4 linked regions of the Kluyveromyces lactis genome follow. The protein of the gene in region 1 purifies or fractionates together with the protein of each later gene. This does not show direct contact. Links are inferred from orthologs where the notes say so. Each region holds a gene or a part of one and is shown in the gene's direction. Other genes may lie near its edges. The genes, in order: NIP1, GCD11, HCR1 and TIF34.

Region 1 (4,355 bases):
CCATCGAAGCCTTCTTGGTTGGTTCCGAAGCTTTGTACCGTGAAGATATGACTGCTTCTGAATTGGCAGATGCTATCTCTGATGTCAAGGACTACATTAAAGACATCAAGGATTCCGATGGTAACTCTTACAGTGGCAAGCAAGTCGGTACTGTTGACTCATGGAACGTTTTGGTCGATGGTGGATCTGCTACCGCCATTCAAGCTGCTGACTTTGTCATGGCGAACGCCTTCTCTTACTGGCAAGGTCAAACTATGGATAATGCTTCTTACTCGTTCTTCGACGATATCATGCAAGCTCTACAAACTATCCAAACTACCAAGGGTTCTACTGACATTCAATTCTGGGTTGGTGAAACTGGCTGGCCAACCGATGGTACCAACTTTGAAAGTGCTTACCCAGGTCTAGATAACGCTAAGCAATTTTGGGCTGATGGTATTTGTGCTATGAGAGGCTGGGGTGTCAACGTTATCGTTTTCGAAGCTTTCGATGAGGACTGGAAACCAGATACTTCTGGTATTTCCGATGTTGAAAAGTACTGGGGTGTTTGGGATGCCAACAGAAACTTGAAGTTCAAGTTGGATTGTGATTTCAGCTCTTAATTTTTGAGTTGAGCTTCTCTTCTCTTTAACATACAATACAGATTGTGTGTATTTTTTTTACCCTTCCACTTTCTCATTTGATACCGGTTATAATTGTTGACTTGTTGTTTCCTTTCGTCTCCTATTAACAACTCAAAATTATACAAATGAAGCTTTCATGTCACATTTAGGTCACACATTCCTTCAGCAAATTGATCCATTCATACTTGTTACTACGGCTGTTATCTAAAGGTGATATTAACTTATTACCTACTTGAATTCTTCAAATTGCGATACTATCCATTTTAATTCCTGGACTAAAAAAAAAAAAGAACATTAAAAGAGTACTTTATATATCACAACAGCAGAACATTTTCATGAACCATAAATGTATCTATCCCGTTGTCGAAGTATGCCCACAAAACATCGATCAAGAAGGCATCGTATATGGTATGAAAGCTTCAAAATTATTTTATTTCTTAGCAACATCTATATTTCACTTTTCATATAACTAAATTAAATCGATATTATTTTATACCCTATTTATCATCGATGATTATACGCAATCACACAAAGTTAGACGTCCATTTTGGCCTAACATCAACCGGCGACAGACTCCCACTTCACTTTGTTCTTTGCAATGGTACATTCATTTATCATTACCCGGCTACCAATCGTGTTCCATGATTATTTGAAAATTTTCACAAATTTTCACTCAGTGAAAGCTCATCTCAAAAGAAAATCTGAAAGGTTTGAAATCGAATTAATAGATGAAATTCAGTTGAGACGTGTAATAAGCAATACTTTTCAATTGTAGGTTGGAATCACCAGGTCGTAACAGGGAGACTAGGTTGAGATTAGTACGTGGTATTAAGGAAATAGAACAACGTTAAGCGATAGTCCATTCATCATGTCCCGTTTTTTTTTGAAGACATATGAGTACGATTCAACGTCTTCTGGTGAAGAAGAAGACTTGTTATCTCAAAGTGAAGAGGATTTAGTTTCATCCTCCAGTGAGGAAGAATTATCTGATGACTCTTTCTTCAACGACTCTGATGAGAGTTCCGATAATGATGAAGACAATGATTCTGATAGCAAACCCTACGGCCCTGACTGGTTCAAGAAGCCAGAATTCAGAAAAGGTGGTGGTTCAGGTGCTAACAAGTTCTTGAAATCTACCAACTATTCATCTGATGAAGACTCATCCGACGAAGAAGATGGTAAGAAGGTTGTGAAGTCAGCAAAAGAGAAGTTGTTGGATGAAATGAAATCTATTTACCAAAAAATTGATTCCGCAGAAGCCCAACAAGATTGGGAATCATTATTAAACCATTTGGAAACCATTTTGAAATTATACACAAAAGCCCAACAACAAAACTACGGTACACCTAATATCTTTGTGAAGTCATTGGCTAGATTTGAAGATGCGGTATCTGCTACTTCTCAGGATGAAATTAAGAATAAGGCAGTTGCAAGAGCTTATAACACCACCAAGCAAAGAGTTAAGAAGTTAATCAGAGAAAACGAAACCTCCGTTAAGGCTTACAGAGAAAACCCAGAGGACTTTGACAAGGAACCTGTCTTAGATGCTGATATAGACTCAAGAGATGTCTCTGCTACTCCATTCTCCTTGAGTGGTAAGAAGAATTTAGACTTGGCATCCGTGGCAAATAACATTTCTGAGCTAGACTTTTTCAAGACGTTGAATATTATCATCGATTCTAGAGGTAAGAAAAACACTGACCACACAGAACAAATTAAAACCACCGAAGAACTATTGAAGATTGCCAAGACTCCATATGAAAAGATCTGTACATACTTGAACTTGATTCCAATCAGATTCGATGCATCTGTATCCTTATCATACCAACCACTAGAACAATGGAAAGCATCAAAGGATAACTTGGATGGTTTATTGGAAGTGCTGGAACAAGAGATCGACCACTATCAAGTTACTGAATTTGCCCCAAGAAATGATTTCATTGAAGATGAACCAGAAGCTAATGAGCATGGTGTCAAGGAAATTTTGGGTTCTATCTTCTCTATGGTTGAAAGATTGGACGATGAATTTAGCAAATCCCTTTTGAACATTGACACTCGTTCCAGTGAATACATGGAACGTTTGAGAGATGAACAATCTATTTACAATTTGATTATCAGATCCCAATTGTACTTTGAACGTGTAACTGCAGAAGAACACCGCGATAGACTTTTGGCCCGTGTCTTCAACAGAAGACTTGAACATATCTACTACAAGTCCGACAAGCTCATCTCTATTATGGAAACCGTTGCATGGAAACAAATTCGTGAAGGAACTGCGTCCCTTGAATCCTCTTTCGTTCGTTTGAATGAATCAGATTCCGCAGATGCCGATTACAACTTCAAGGTCATCTCTGAATTGTCCGATTTCTTAATTAAACAAAAGAGTAACAACGTGTTCAACTACAGAAAAGGTACCTTGTACAAAACATATTATATTGCATTGAACCAAGAATACGCTCCAGCAAAGAAAATAATGCTTTCTTCCGATATTGCTAAATTCATTTCAGGCTCTGATGCAGCATTACAAATTTTGTACAATAGATGTGTTATTCAACTTGGTTTGGCTGCATTTAAGGCTGGTTTAATAAATGAATGTCACCAAGTTTTGAACGGTCTTTGTATTAATCCACATCTAAGAGAAATTTTGGGTCAACAAAGTTTACAAAGAGCTAATGCGAACAGCAATGTCGTGCAGGGTGCCCCTGTTGAACAATTATGTCTTCCTTTCCATCAACACATCAACTTGGATCTAATTGACACCGTCTACATGACATGTTCTTTATTACTTGATGTGCCTCACATGGCAGCTTATTACAGCGGTATTAAGGTCAAGAGAATCCCAGTTTTCCAAAAATCTATCCGCCGTATTCTAGAGAGTTCAGAGAAAGCTATTTTCCATGGTCCTCCAGAAACTCTAAGAGATCACATTCTTTATGCTGCAAAGTCAATGCAAAAGGGTGATTACTTACAATCGATCGAATATTTGAGGAAAATTTCTGTGTGGTCTTTGTTGAGTAAATCTGATGATATCATCAACCAACTAAGTGAAAAGGTTCAAATTGAAACTTTGAAAACTTACATTTTCACTTACAAGAGATTCTACTCTAAAATATCCATTTCTAAATTATCGAAATTGTTTGATCTTGATATCGAAAAGGTTTTGGCTGTAGCACAAAACATCATCAATGATTACGAAGTTAAAGCCAAATTGGATGAAAATAACGAATACATTATCTTCGAAAGAGGCGAAGAAATCACAAAGTTAGAAGAAGTTGCCATCAAGTTAGTTAAAGAAACCAAGTACCACTCTGAACGTTTACGCCAGTAAACATTTTCATTCTTCGTTCAGCAGATAAGGTCAGTTTCTAATTGTAGCACTCACCTTCCATACACATAACAAAATTTGCTCTTCCTTCTTTTGTTCACTTACCGTGCGCATATTAATAGACAGAGTCGTTGGCAAAGAACCTTTGTTTTAGCATTTGCAATAAATACTAGTATTTGTACATTATCGATAATATATAACATAGTTCTCACTGTAGGCAATTACGTAGTTTTTGAAATCAATTAATTGAATTTTGGAGACATATAACATCTCGAACATTGACTCGTAACAATACAGTTTATGCGCTGGTTCATTCTATATATATATGTATATGATACACATTTATGGACAAATGTATGTTATCAGTTGGAATAAACCACTTACCTTGCTAGTTATACATGGTTAGA
Region 2 (3,619 bases), on another chromosome or scaffold:
AGCTAGTCCATTCCTCATTGGGCTCAATTATCGATGTCGATACTGGTCATGAAGTTTATCAAGATGCTGTATCATTAATTTCGAATGCTTCTGTCCTCAAGTACGATATGGCTTATAGATCAGCTGGTATTATGAGAAGTATATGGAGCATGTTCAGCAACATGTTCGAAGAGTGGAAAGCGAAGAAAGACCAAAGTTCCTCTTCAACACAGTCAGAAAAGGATTTTAACTTGAGTATTACCATAAGATCTAGAATGTCTGTGAGTGTTTTCTTTGACTGCTTGTTCATATTAAGACAGAAGTGCGGTATGGCAAAACTAAAGAGAGAAAGAGAAAAGACAGTCTCCTCTGATGATGAAAATAGTGGCGATAACCATAACGGAGATGCAGAGTCCAAAGAACTACTGCCCAACGATGGGTATTCCGAAGAACATGCCAGAAGGATTATATCTACCATTCCACTTGACCCAGAGCCCATCAATGCACAGCAGTCCAGTGGAAGCAATATTACATCTCCGAACGGTTCACATAGTAGTGACGTTTTGTCATTGAAATCAATCCTAAACAAAACGTCCCCAAAGGACGAGATTTTGCAGAAACAGAAAAATGGTACAATGCCATCTTCATCTTCCCCTAGCAACAATATCATAGTATCACCTACAAACACACATGCTGGTGCTTCCAATGTTGAAACTAGCGGTTATCCCAGATCTCTAAATCCTTTGAACGCCGTCACAGACAATAAACTCATAAACCATTCTACCACCGCCAAGAAAACGAACTCCCCACAATTTAGGGTTTCAAGTCCGTCAAATCATAGTAAACCGACTCGAAAGATCAATCCTGCTGCGCAGTCCTTAAATGAGTTGTTGGAGCCACCAATACCGCAATCCTTCCAGTCCGTTACAAAATCGATAATATCAGAAGGAACTGAAAACAGAAAGGAAGATACGCCCTCAATTTCTCCAGGTCTTACGGAAAGATGGGACAACTGGGAATCAGATCTTGTTTGGAAAGATGTCGACATTCTAATGAACGAATTCGCATTCAATCCGACGTTGTAATATTAAATTATTGGTTATATATTTCTATAAATACTTATTATAAGACGAATTAAATCATCGGTTAACAGATTGATACTGCGAAATGACACCAACTGCTAACCTGTCACTGGCGAGAAACCTAAGCAAAACCAGATGTCGTTATGCACATTTTCCAAGTACTTAAAACATAATCACGTGATCGAAAATACCACCAGATTTCTCTTTCTGTACGAAATCGTTACTTTGTATCGAAAATTTTTTTGAATTGTAAGAATGCCAAATTCGAAATCAGTTTCAACAGAATTGAGTAGATATATGTGGATATGATTAATCTCGATGAGTAATGAAGGTGTAAAGGTATAAAGATCTTGTTAGCAACCGAGTTTAATTCCAGAGAATAGAACGGCCAGGTGCAGTATTTGGGAAAGTATCAAAAAGGATATCTAGTGATAGTTTTTTCTGATTGTTTATAATACCTAAAGTTCAGGATGTCTGATTTGCAAAACCAAGAGCCAAGTATTGTCATCAATGGGGATCTTAATGATGAGCCAATAGATACATTTGAGGTTGAAGAAGAGGAGCAAGTTTTTGATGAAGTGAAGCCTAAGAAGACTGTTACTTTCAGTGGGATTGATGATGTGGAAGCGGATGAAGAACGTAGAAAGAGAGAATTTGAAGAAGGTGGTGGTCTTCCAGAGCAACCAACGAACCCAGATTTTTCCAAGTTGAACCCTCTATCACCAGAAATTATCAATAGACAAGCCACTATCAATATTGGTACTATCGGTCATGTCGCTCACGGTAAATCTACCGTTGTGAGAGCTATTTCAGGTGTTCAAACCGTTCGTTTCAAGGATGAATTAGAACGTAATATTACCATTAAATTAGGTTACGCCAATGCCAAAATCTATAAAGCAGAAGATCCAGAATGCCCAGAACCAGACTGTTATAAGTCTTTCAGATCTGACAAAGAAGTTGCACCAAAGGTTGATCTTCCAGGTTACAGTGGACGTTATAAACTAGTCCGTCATGTTTCCTTTGTCGATTGTCCTGGTCACGATATTTTAATGTCTACCATGTTGTCTGGTGCTGCCGTTATGGATGCAGCACTACTTCTAATCGCAGGTAACGAATCCTGTCCTCAACCACAAACCTCTGAACATTTGGCTGCTATCGAAATTATGAAGTTGAAGCACGTTATCATTTTACAGAACAAAGTCGATCTAATGAGAGAAGACTCTGCTCTGGAACATCAAAAATCTATTTTGAAATTTATTAGAGGTACCATCGCTGATGGTGCTCCAATCGTTCCAATCTCAGCCCAATTGAAATATAACATTGATGCTGTGAATGAATTCATCGTGAAAAGTATTCCTGTTCCTCAAAGAGACTTCTTAGCGTCTCCGAGATTGATTGTCATTCGTTCCTTTGATGTTAACAAGCCAGGTGCCGAAATCGAAGATTTGAAGGGTGGTGTTGCCGGTGGTTCCATTTTGACTGGTGTTTTCAAATTAGGCGATGAGATCGAAATTAGACCAGGTATCGTCACTAAAGATGATCATGGTAAGATTCAATGTAAGCCAATTTTCTCCAATATCGTTTCCCTATTTGCTGAACACAACGACCTAAAATTCGCCGTTCCAGGTGGTTTGATTGGTGTTGGTACTAAGGTCGATCCAACGTTATGTAGAGCAGATCGTCTAGTGGGTCAAGTCGTTGGTGCTAAGGGCCATTTGCCATCTATCTACACCGATATCGAAATTAACTACTTCCTATTGCGTCGTCTATTAGGTGTAAAGACCGATGGTCAAAAACAAGCAAAGGTTAGAAAGTTAGAGCCAAATGAAGTTTTAATGGTGAACATCGGTTCCACCGCTACTGGTGCCCGTGTGGTTGCCGTCAAAGCCGATATGGCAAGATTACAATTAACTTCCCCTGCATGTACAGAAGTTAATGAAAAGATTGCATTATCTAGACGTATCGAAAAGCATTGGCGTTTAATTGGTTGGGCTACTATCAAGAAGGGTACCACTCTTGAACCAATCGCTTAATCTGTAAATTAACTAAATGATTTTATATATGTCTATATGTATATATTGTCACATTAATGTTCCATTTTCTTGGTAGAAAAGGCCACATTCTTTTGCAAGATGAATATCTTTATTCTTCATGATGAAATGCCTAGGTTCTACTTGTTAGCAGTTATTAATGAAATTGCGTCCCTATACGATTCTGTTGCCAGGAATTTGGGCAAAGAGTCGTTCTTCATCATGATAAATACGGTATTTCTGATTTTTTCCAGTAACTGATACAAATCCTTCAACATTGATATAGCATGAATAATGACGTATGACTCAGTACCCTTATTAAGAGGTGTCGGCGCCAATGGCATTGACGTGTTACTATGGGATTGTACTTTATGCTCCACGCATTTCTTCCGGGCAGCAGGATCGAGGCTTAAGGGTCTATTAACAGATGCATCCGAAATGGCTCTTGAACAATTTTCCTTGCCTGAAGTGTCGAACGCAGTTTTAGTTGGAGACTGAGGGTGGAATATTATTCCAGTAATTGTTTCT
Region 3 (2,812 bases), on another chromosome or scaffold:
TATGAATTACTTATATATTAAAAATGCCTTATTAAATAGAGGGAAGAAAGGCTATGCAGTATTATATGTACAATTACATCTGTTTCAAGTTGTCAGGGTCTGTGTCCCAATGTTCATGAAGACAGAAGAAGTATCTTTTGATTACTTTTTAAAGTTCATTTCGTTACGTTAATAAAAAAGGAGAAGGGAAGAAGAAGGAGGACTATATAGTCTCATTATGCAAGTGTGAGGGATGAAAAGATAGGAAGGAGAAGAGCTGATCGGTGGCGATTCACTTGAAAAGACTCTTCAATTTGGAGAAGAACCCACTCTTTGATGATTTTTCGTCCACGTGACTCGATCCGTTGTCTCCAGTGGAGGAATTCTTAGAGCCCTTCTCATCCCTTTTCTTTCTTGACGATTTAGGGCTTAGTATGTTCCCAGCACCACCTCTACCGATCGATATGGTCTTTGGAGGTTCCGAGAAGCGTCTCGACTTGATCTTTTTGATGGTTCCTGTATTGTTTGAAGAAGTCACGTCTATCACGTCGTCATCGTCAACATCCTGTGCGGTGCGTGTCATAACCGGGTCCACATTCCTCCTCATATTACCAGCACCACCGCGACCCGTAGAGTAAATTGGCGATAGTATATTGGGGGTCTGGGAACCCTGTGTCACAACCTTCGGTGAAGGTTTCTCGTTCGACGTTATCATGTTTCCTGCGCCTCCTCTTCCAGTACTTACTCTATATTCACCCATGCCGATATATTGAATAATCTCCCAAAGATACTTTCTTTATTATTGCGTTGCCAAACAACTATTCCAGATTAGGTCCACTTGTCACGAGCCTATATCACAATGGTTAGATTGGACCAACAACTATTAAATGGATGCACATTTTATGTTTTCAATACTGACATGTATATATAAAAAAGGTTCGGATCGAGAGTTGATCATTAATTGTGTGTTGGTCAAGGAATCGATGATAAGGGACCGAAGGTCGTATGGGATGATGAGGAGCCTGGTGCATGAGTGACGCCAGAAAAAGTAACTATTTAATTTTGAGAAATAGGTATCAAAAATAAATTAATTTTGGAGCGTCATAATGGGCAGAACAGGATATGAATACGTCAATTGGGTACCATTAAAAGGGAAGTGATCATTAACATGTTATATGGTGCCAGTGGAACTCTGGATAGACAAAAAATCGTGGTCTATAGCAGGGTATTTTCGTTCTACATGCAATATGATGGTTTGACGTAGCAGTCTTTGCGGCAGAAGGGAGGGACGGAGGAAGGAAGACCACTGCCCCGGGTAACAGCTCCCAAAAGACCCAAAAATCGAAATTTAATGCCACCCATAAGCATCTTGACAAGAATTTGTAACGAGGACAATCAATAAACACTTGCTTTCAGCAGCTCTACCCTAACCGAGATCAATTATCAATCAACAATGTCCTGGGACGACGAAGATTTTGCAGTGCCAAGTGGCTCCAAAGAGAAGCCAGTGTTGAATTCATGGGATGATGAGTTCGCTGAAAACGACGATGAGCCGGTACTAGAGTCCTGGGAGGACGAGGAGACTGCTAAACCTAAGCCTAAGGCAGCAGCAGCAGCTGCAGCCAAGGCTCCAAAGAAAGCCTCTCCATCACCAGCTGCTACACCAGCTGCTACAAAGAACACCATGCTCGATATCGATACTCTTGACGACAAGACCCGTAAAGAACTATTGAGAAAGGCTGAACTGGAATCTGATTTGAACAACGCTGCAGACCTTTTCGGCGGTCTTGGCGTCGCAGAAGAACATCCAAGAGCCCGCGCCGAACGTGAAAGAGAACAGCTTGCAGCTGTCGCCCAACCTGCTGCGTTGACCAAGGATACCCCAATCCAATCGCACCCATTGTTCTCGGATTTGGAAACCAAAAAAGATTACCAAGAATTAAGGAAAGCGTTGGCTACCGCAATCACCTCGACAAGCAACAAATCCTTGTTGAACTACTCTGGTGGACTAGCCATCGACTTGATCAGAGACATTTCCAAACCAATGACCGTCGAAAACATCAGACAAACCATTGCGACATTGAACGTATTGATGAAGGATAAAGAAAGAGAAGAAAGACAAGCTCGTTTGGCCAAAGTCAAGGGAGGCACCGCCACAGGCGGTGCCGGTAAGAAGAAGGCCAAGGCTACTAGGGCTAACCTCGGCGGTGCCTTCAAGAAGGATAACGATTTCGACCTAGGTGGTAACGATAACTTTGACGATTTCGGAGAAGACGATTTCATGTAATAGAAAAAAAAAACAGATCTCATCACATATCATCATCACATATCATATATAGAACGTAAACAATTGAACTGTTAATATTGCCCAAGTCTTGTTCGCTAGCCCGGTCGCTCTTTCTCTCTCTCATCTACCGAATCTGAGAGCGCTCTTGACTCTCCACTGGCCCAGTGCTGCCTCAAACCAGTACAACAAGATCCGATCCACGCTACATCCCACGCTACGAAGTGAAAAATCATCATGGAAATCCGGCAACAAAGAAAAGCCAGAGAAGACCAGAGGAGAGCAAGCCGGATATGTATCAAAACAAGGGTGGATGAACCAAGTCGTGGAGTCGACGGTATATGATTGTTCCTATTCCGCGTTTGAACTGTTTTTTTTTTTCTCAGCTATGAACTTGTACTTATATATATATATATATATATATGTATAATCGAACGCCGTCTGTATTCCGCATATCAATATACTATATAATAAGGTAACAACTTGGTAGAGAAACTTGGTAACTTAGCAGCTGTTTTGTGTACTTGTTATCGCAAAGTGCAAGAAAGA
Region 4 (2,807 bases), about 420 kb from region 1:
AGGGCTATCCAAATGCTAAATTCCCTGCTGTGTTAGTCTTCTCTGAAATTTATCAGGTTACTGGACCTGTTTTGAGATTCGCTCAAACGATTGCTGCAGAAGGTTACATTGCCATTTTACCATCTTCATACCATAATTTTGTAGATTCTACACCCTTGGCGTATGATACTGAGGGTACTGATCTAGGTAACAAATTCAAGATTGAAAAACCCTTAGAATCGTATGATGAAGATGTTACGTTGTGCCTTGATGTACTAGAAAACCTACCACAATGGAATGGAAGAGTTGGTGCAACTGGCATGTGCTTAGGTGGACATTTGGCCTTCAGAGCTCAACTTGACTCCAGAATCAAGGCTACAACATGTTTCTTCCCCACTGATATTCACTCTCACTCTTTAGGTTTGGGCAAGAATGACGATTCATTGGAAAAGGTTACAGCCAATTGGAAAAAGGACCAGGAATGTTTCTTGATTTTTGGTACCAAAGATACTCATGTGCCATGGGAAGGCAGAGATCAAATTAGAAATGCAGTGAAGGATAAGTCTGTCACATTTTTAGAAATCAACGGTGCTCAACATGCATTTATCAGAGACGAATTCAGCAAGGGGAGATTCGATTCCGCAGTGACAAAAGCATGTTTGGGTTTTATGTTTGAGTTATTTGATAGAAAGTTGAAGAGTGAACTAGGAGAGTTCGTTGACGACAATGCGCCTGTCGAGCATGTTTGTTAGACAATGCGATCCTTTCATGTGAAGCCAACTATACATTGATATATCTATATACTTATACTTATACTAGTGCAGCAAAAACCAAAGGTTTCAAACCAGTACCCATAATATGTCATGGAATCTCGTTCTGAGATCCGTATGGACACACTCTGAGAGTTTATCATCACCAAGTGACACAGTACTTCTACTTGGGATGCTATTTTCCTCATTACCCTACCTTTAACAGATTTCTTTTATCAGTAAAATTTTCCAAGCGTAAGTAAAGCCAGAGAGCGTATTATCACAGAGGAAGAAGCTTTAGAAAATGAAAAAGTGAAAGAAATTGATGAATTAGTGAAAAAAAATTCGAAATACACAGTGGGATTAACAATATATTTTCAAGAAAAAGCTTAGAGCAGCTTCAGTACTGGTTCAAGGATTATTCGGAACCAACAGCAATAGCAGATTCTGATCGAACTCAGAAGTATAAAATATTGAAAAGATGAGACCAATTGTTTTGAAGGGTCATGAACGTCCATTAACGCAAGTTAAGTTCAACCGTGATGGTGACTTAGTTTTTGCTTGCTCCAAAGATAGTGTTGCCTCTATCTGGTACGCTATCAACGGTGAAAGATTAGGTACTCTAGATGATCATTCTGGTACTATCTGGTCTATTGATGTTGATGAAAGCACAACTTATGCGTTGACTGGTGGTGCTGATTTCTGTTTCAAGATCTGGAAAGTTGCTACAGGTGTAGCAGTCCATTCTGTCTCTACCAGAAGTCCAGTTTTGAGAGTCGAATTTTCTCCAGACGGTAGCAAACTTTTGATTGTACTTGATGCCGTTATGGGTCACATTGGTTCCATTGTTGTTTACTCTTTGATCAGAAACGAAAACGGTGAAATCGTGAATGTGAAGGAGGAACCAGACTACGAAATTACAACCATCGAGCAAGCTACCAAGGTGTTCGTTGCATCTTGGTCCTACAATGGTAAGTACATCATAGCAGGTCATGAAGATGGTCAAATCAGTGCTTACTACGGTGAAAACGGGGAATTCGTTCAAGCAAAGAAGATCCACGAAAAGAGCATCAAAGATATCCAATTCTCTCCAGACAGAACTTACTTTATCACTTCATCCAGAGACAGTGTCGCTTCTTTGGTGGATGTCGACACTTTTGAAGTTCTAAAAACATACAAGGCTGATTGTCCATTAAATAGTGCATCTATTACTCCTCTCAAAGAATTTGTAATCTTGGGTGGTGGTCAAGATGCTAAGGATGTCACAACTACTAGTGCTCGTGAAGGTAAGTTCGAAGCCAGAATTTACCACAAGGTATTCCAAGATGAAATTGGCAGAGTTAAGGGTCATTTCGGTCCTTTGAATTACGTCGCCGTTTCTCCAACTGGTACATCATATGCATCTGGCGGTGAAGATGGTTACATCCGTTTACATCATTTCGATAAATCATACTTCGATTTCAAATACGACGTGGAAAAGACATTTGAAGTGGAAAGAAGGCAACAACTGCAAAAGCAAGAATAAACTTGGTCATTCATCTCATATCACACATCTCTTTTTCTTCCATCGATACAAATCTGATGACACCAGTGTACATTATCCATACTTTTCACAACTCTATTCTGGCACTAGATAACCTATTGACGCTCCCGTTTTTCATCATTCAATATTAGTATACCAATAACTAAACATCATTAGTTGCATATTATTTTACATACCAGAGTTCTTCCATTGCGAACTCTGCAAAGATGTGTCCGTTTACCCCAAAAACAGTGATCCACGGCTATTGGATTCATCGTTGTTAATAACTAATGTTTTCATTCATTGCTTATATTGCTAGGATTAATGCGGAAACGGTTTTGCTAGATAATTATATGTACATTCAATTACCCATGTAAATTAATGTAAAATAACCTAACCTTCAGACACAAACTTTTAGAAGAAACGTCCCATCATATGTGAGCCCGTCAGCTAAAATGTGTAAGACGTATGAAAAGATCTTTAAAACTTCAGTAGCATACTTCGTTGAGAGTAAACGTAAAGGTTTTCTATCGATGTAAGTACTTACCTTCTCTTCT

Evidence for each region.
Region 2: the proteins of NIP1 (region 1) and GCD11 purify together in Saccharomyces cerevisiae (affinity purification with mass spectrometry; 4 studies listed by BioGRID). This does not show direct contact. The link is inferred for Kluyveromyces lactis from reciprocal best matches to the Saccharomyces cerevisiae genes NIP1 and GCD11.
Region 3: the proteins of NIP1 (region 1) and HCR1 purify together in Saccharomyces cerevisiae (affinity purification with mass spectrometry; 6 studies listed by BioGRID, with this or other methods). This does not show direct contact. The link is inferred for Kluyveromyces lactis from reciprocal best matches to the Saccharomyces cerevisiae genes NIP1 and HCR1.
Region 4: the proteins of NIP1 (region 1) and TIF34 purify together in Saccharomyces cerevisiae (affinity purification with western blotting; 10 studies listed by BioGRID, with this or other methods). This does not show direct contact. The link is inferred for Kluyveromyces lactis from reciprocal best matches to the Saccharomyces cerevisiae genes NIP1 and TIF34.

Annotation. Positions count from the first base shown.
Region 1 is NC_006042.1:279,751-284,105, reverse strand, and holds NIP1 (translation initiation factor eIF3 core subunit c), read left to right. Parts: upstream 1-1,491; coding exon 1,492-3,951; downstream 3,952-4,355. Other genes in the region: BGL2 (glucan 1,3-beta-glucosidase), read left to right, coding at 1-602. UniProt on the Saccharomyces cerevisiae protein: Component of the eukaryotic translation initiation factor 3 (eIF-3) complex, which is involved in protein synthesis of a specialized repertoire of mRNAs and, together with other initiation factors, stimulates binding of mRNA and methionyl-tRNAi to the 40S ribosome.
Region 2 is NC_006040.1:897,771-901,389, reverse strand, and holds GCD11 (translation initiation factor eIF2 subunit gamma), read left to right. Parts: upstream 1-1,531; coding exon 1,532-3,094; downstream 3,095-3,619. Other genes in the region: leucine-responsive transcriptional regulator LEU3, read left to right, coding at 1-1,064; GTPase-activating protein SST2, read right to left, coding at 3,232-3,619. UniProt on the Saccharomyces cerevisiae protein: As a subunit of eukaryotic initiation factor 2 eIF2, involved in the early steps of protein synthesis.
Region 3 is NC_006041.1:1,750,039-1,752,850, forward strand, and holds HCR1 (translation initiation factor eIF3 core subunit j), read left to right. Parts: upstream 1-1,432; coding exon 1,433-2,266; downstream 2,267-2,812. Other genes in the region: PAR32 (Par32p), read right to left, coding at 272-739. UniProt on the Saccharomyces cerevisiae protein: Component of the eukaryotic translation initiation factor 3 (eIF-3) complex, which is involved in protein synthesis of a specialized repertoire of mRNAs and, together with other initiation factors, stimulates binding of mRNA and methionyl-tRNAi to the 40S ribosome.
Region 4 is NC_006042.1:696,384-699,190, forward strand, and holds TIF34 (translation initiation factor eIF3 subunit i), read left to right. Parts: upstream 1-1,209; coding exon 1,210-2,253; downstream 2,254-2,807. Other genes in the region: KLLA0_F07381g (carboxymethylenebutenolidase), read left to right, coding at 1-731; KLLA0_F07425g (uncharacterized protein), read right to left, coding at 2,794-2,807. UniProt on the Saccharomyces cerevisiae protein: Component of the eukaryotic translation initiation factor 3 (eIF-3) complex, which is involved in protein synthesis of a specialized repertoire of mRNAs and, together with other initiation factors, stimulates binding of mRNA and methionyl-tRNAi to the 40S ribosome.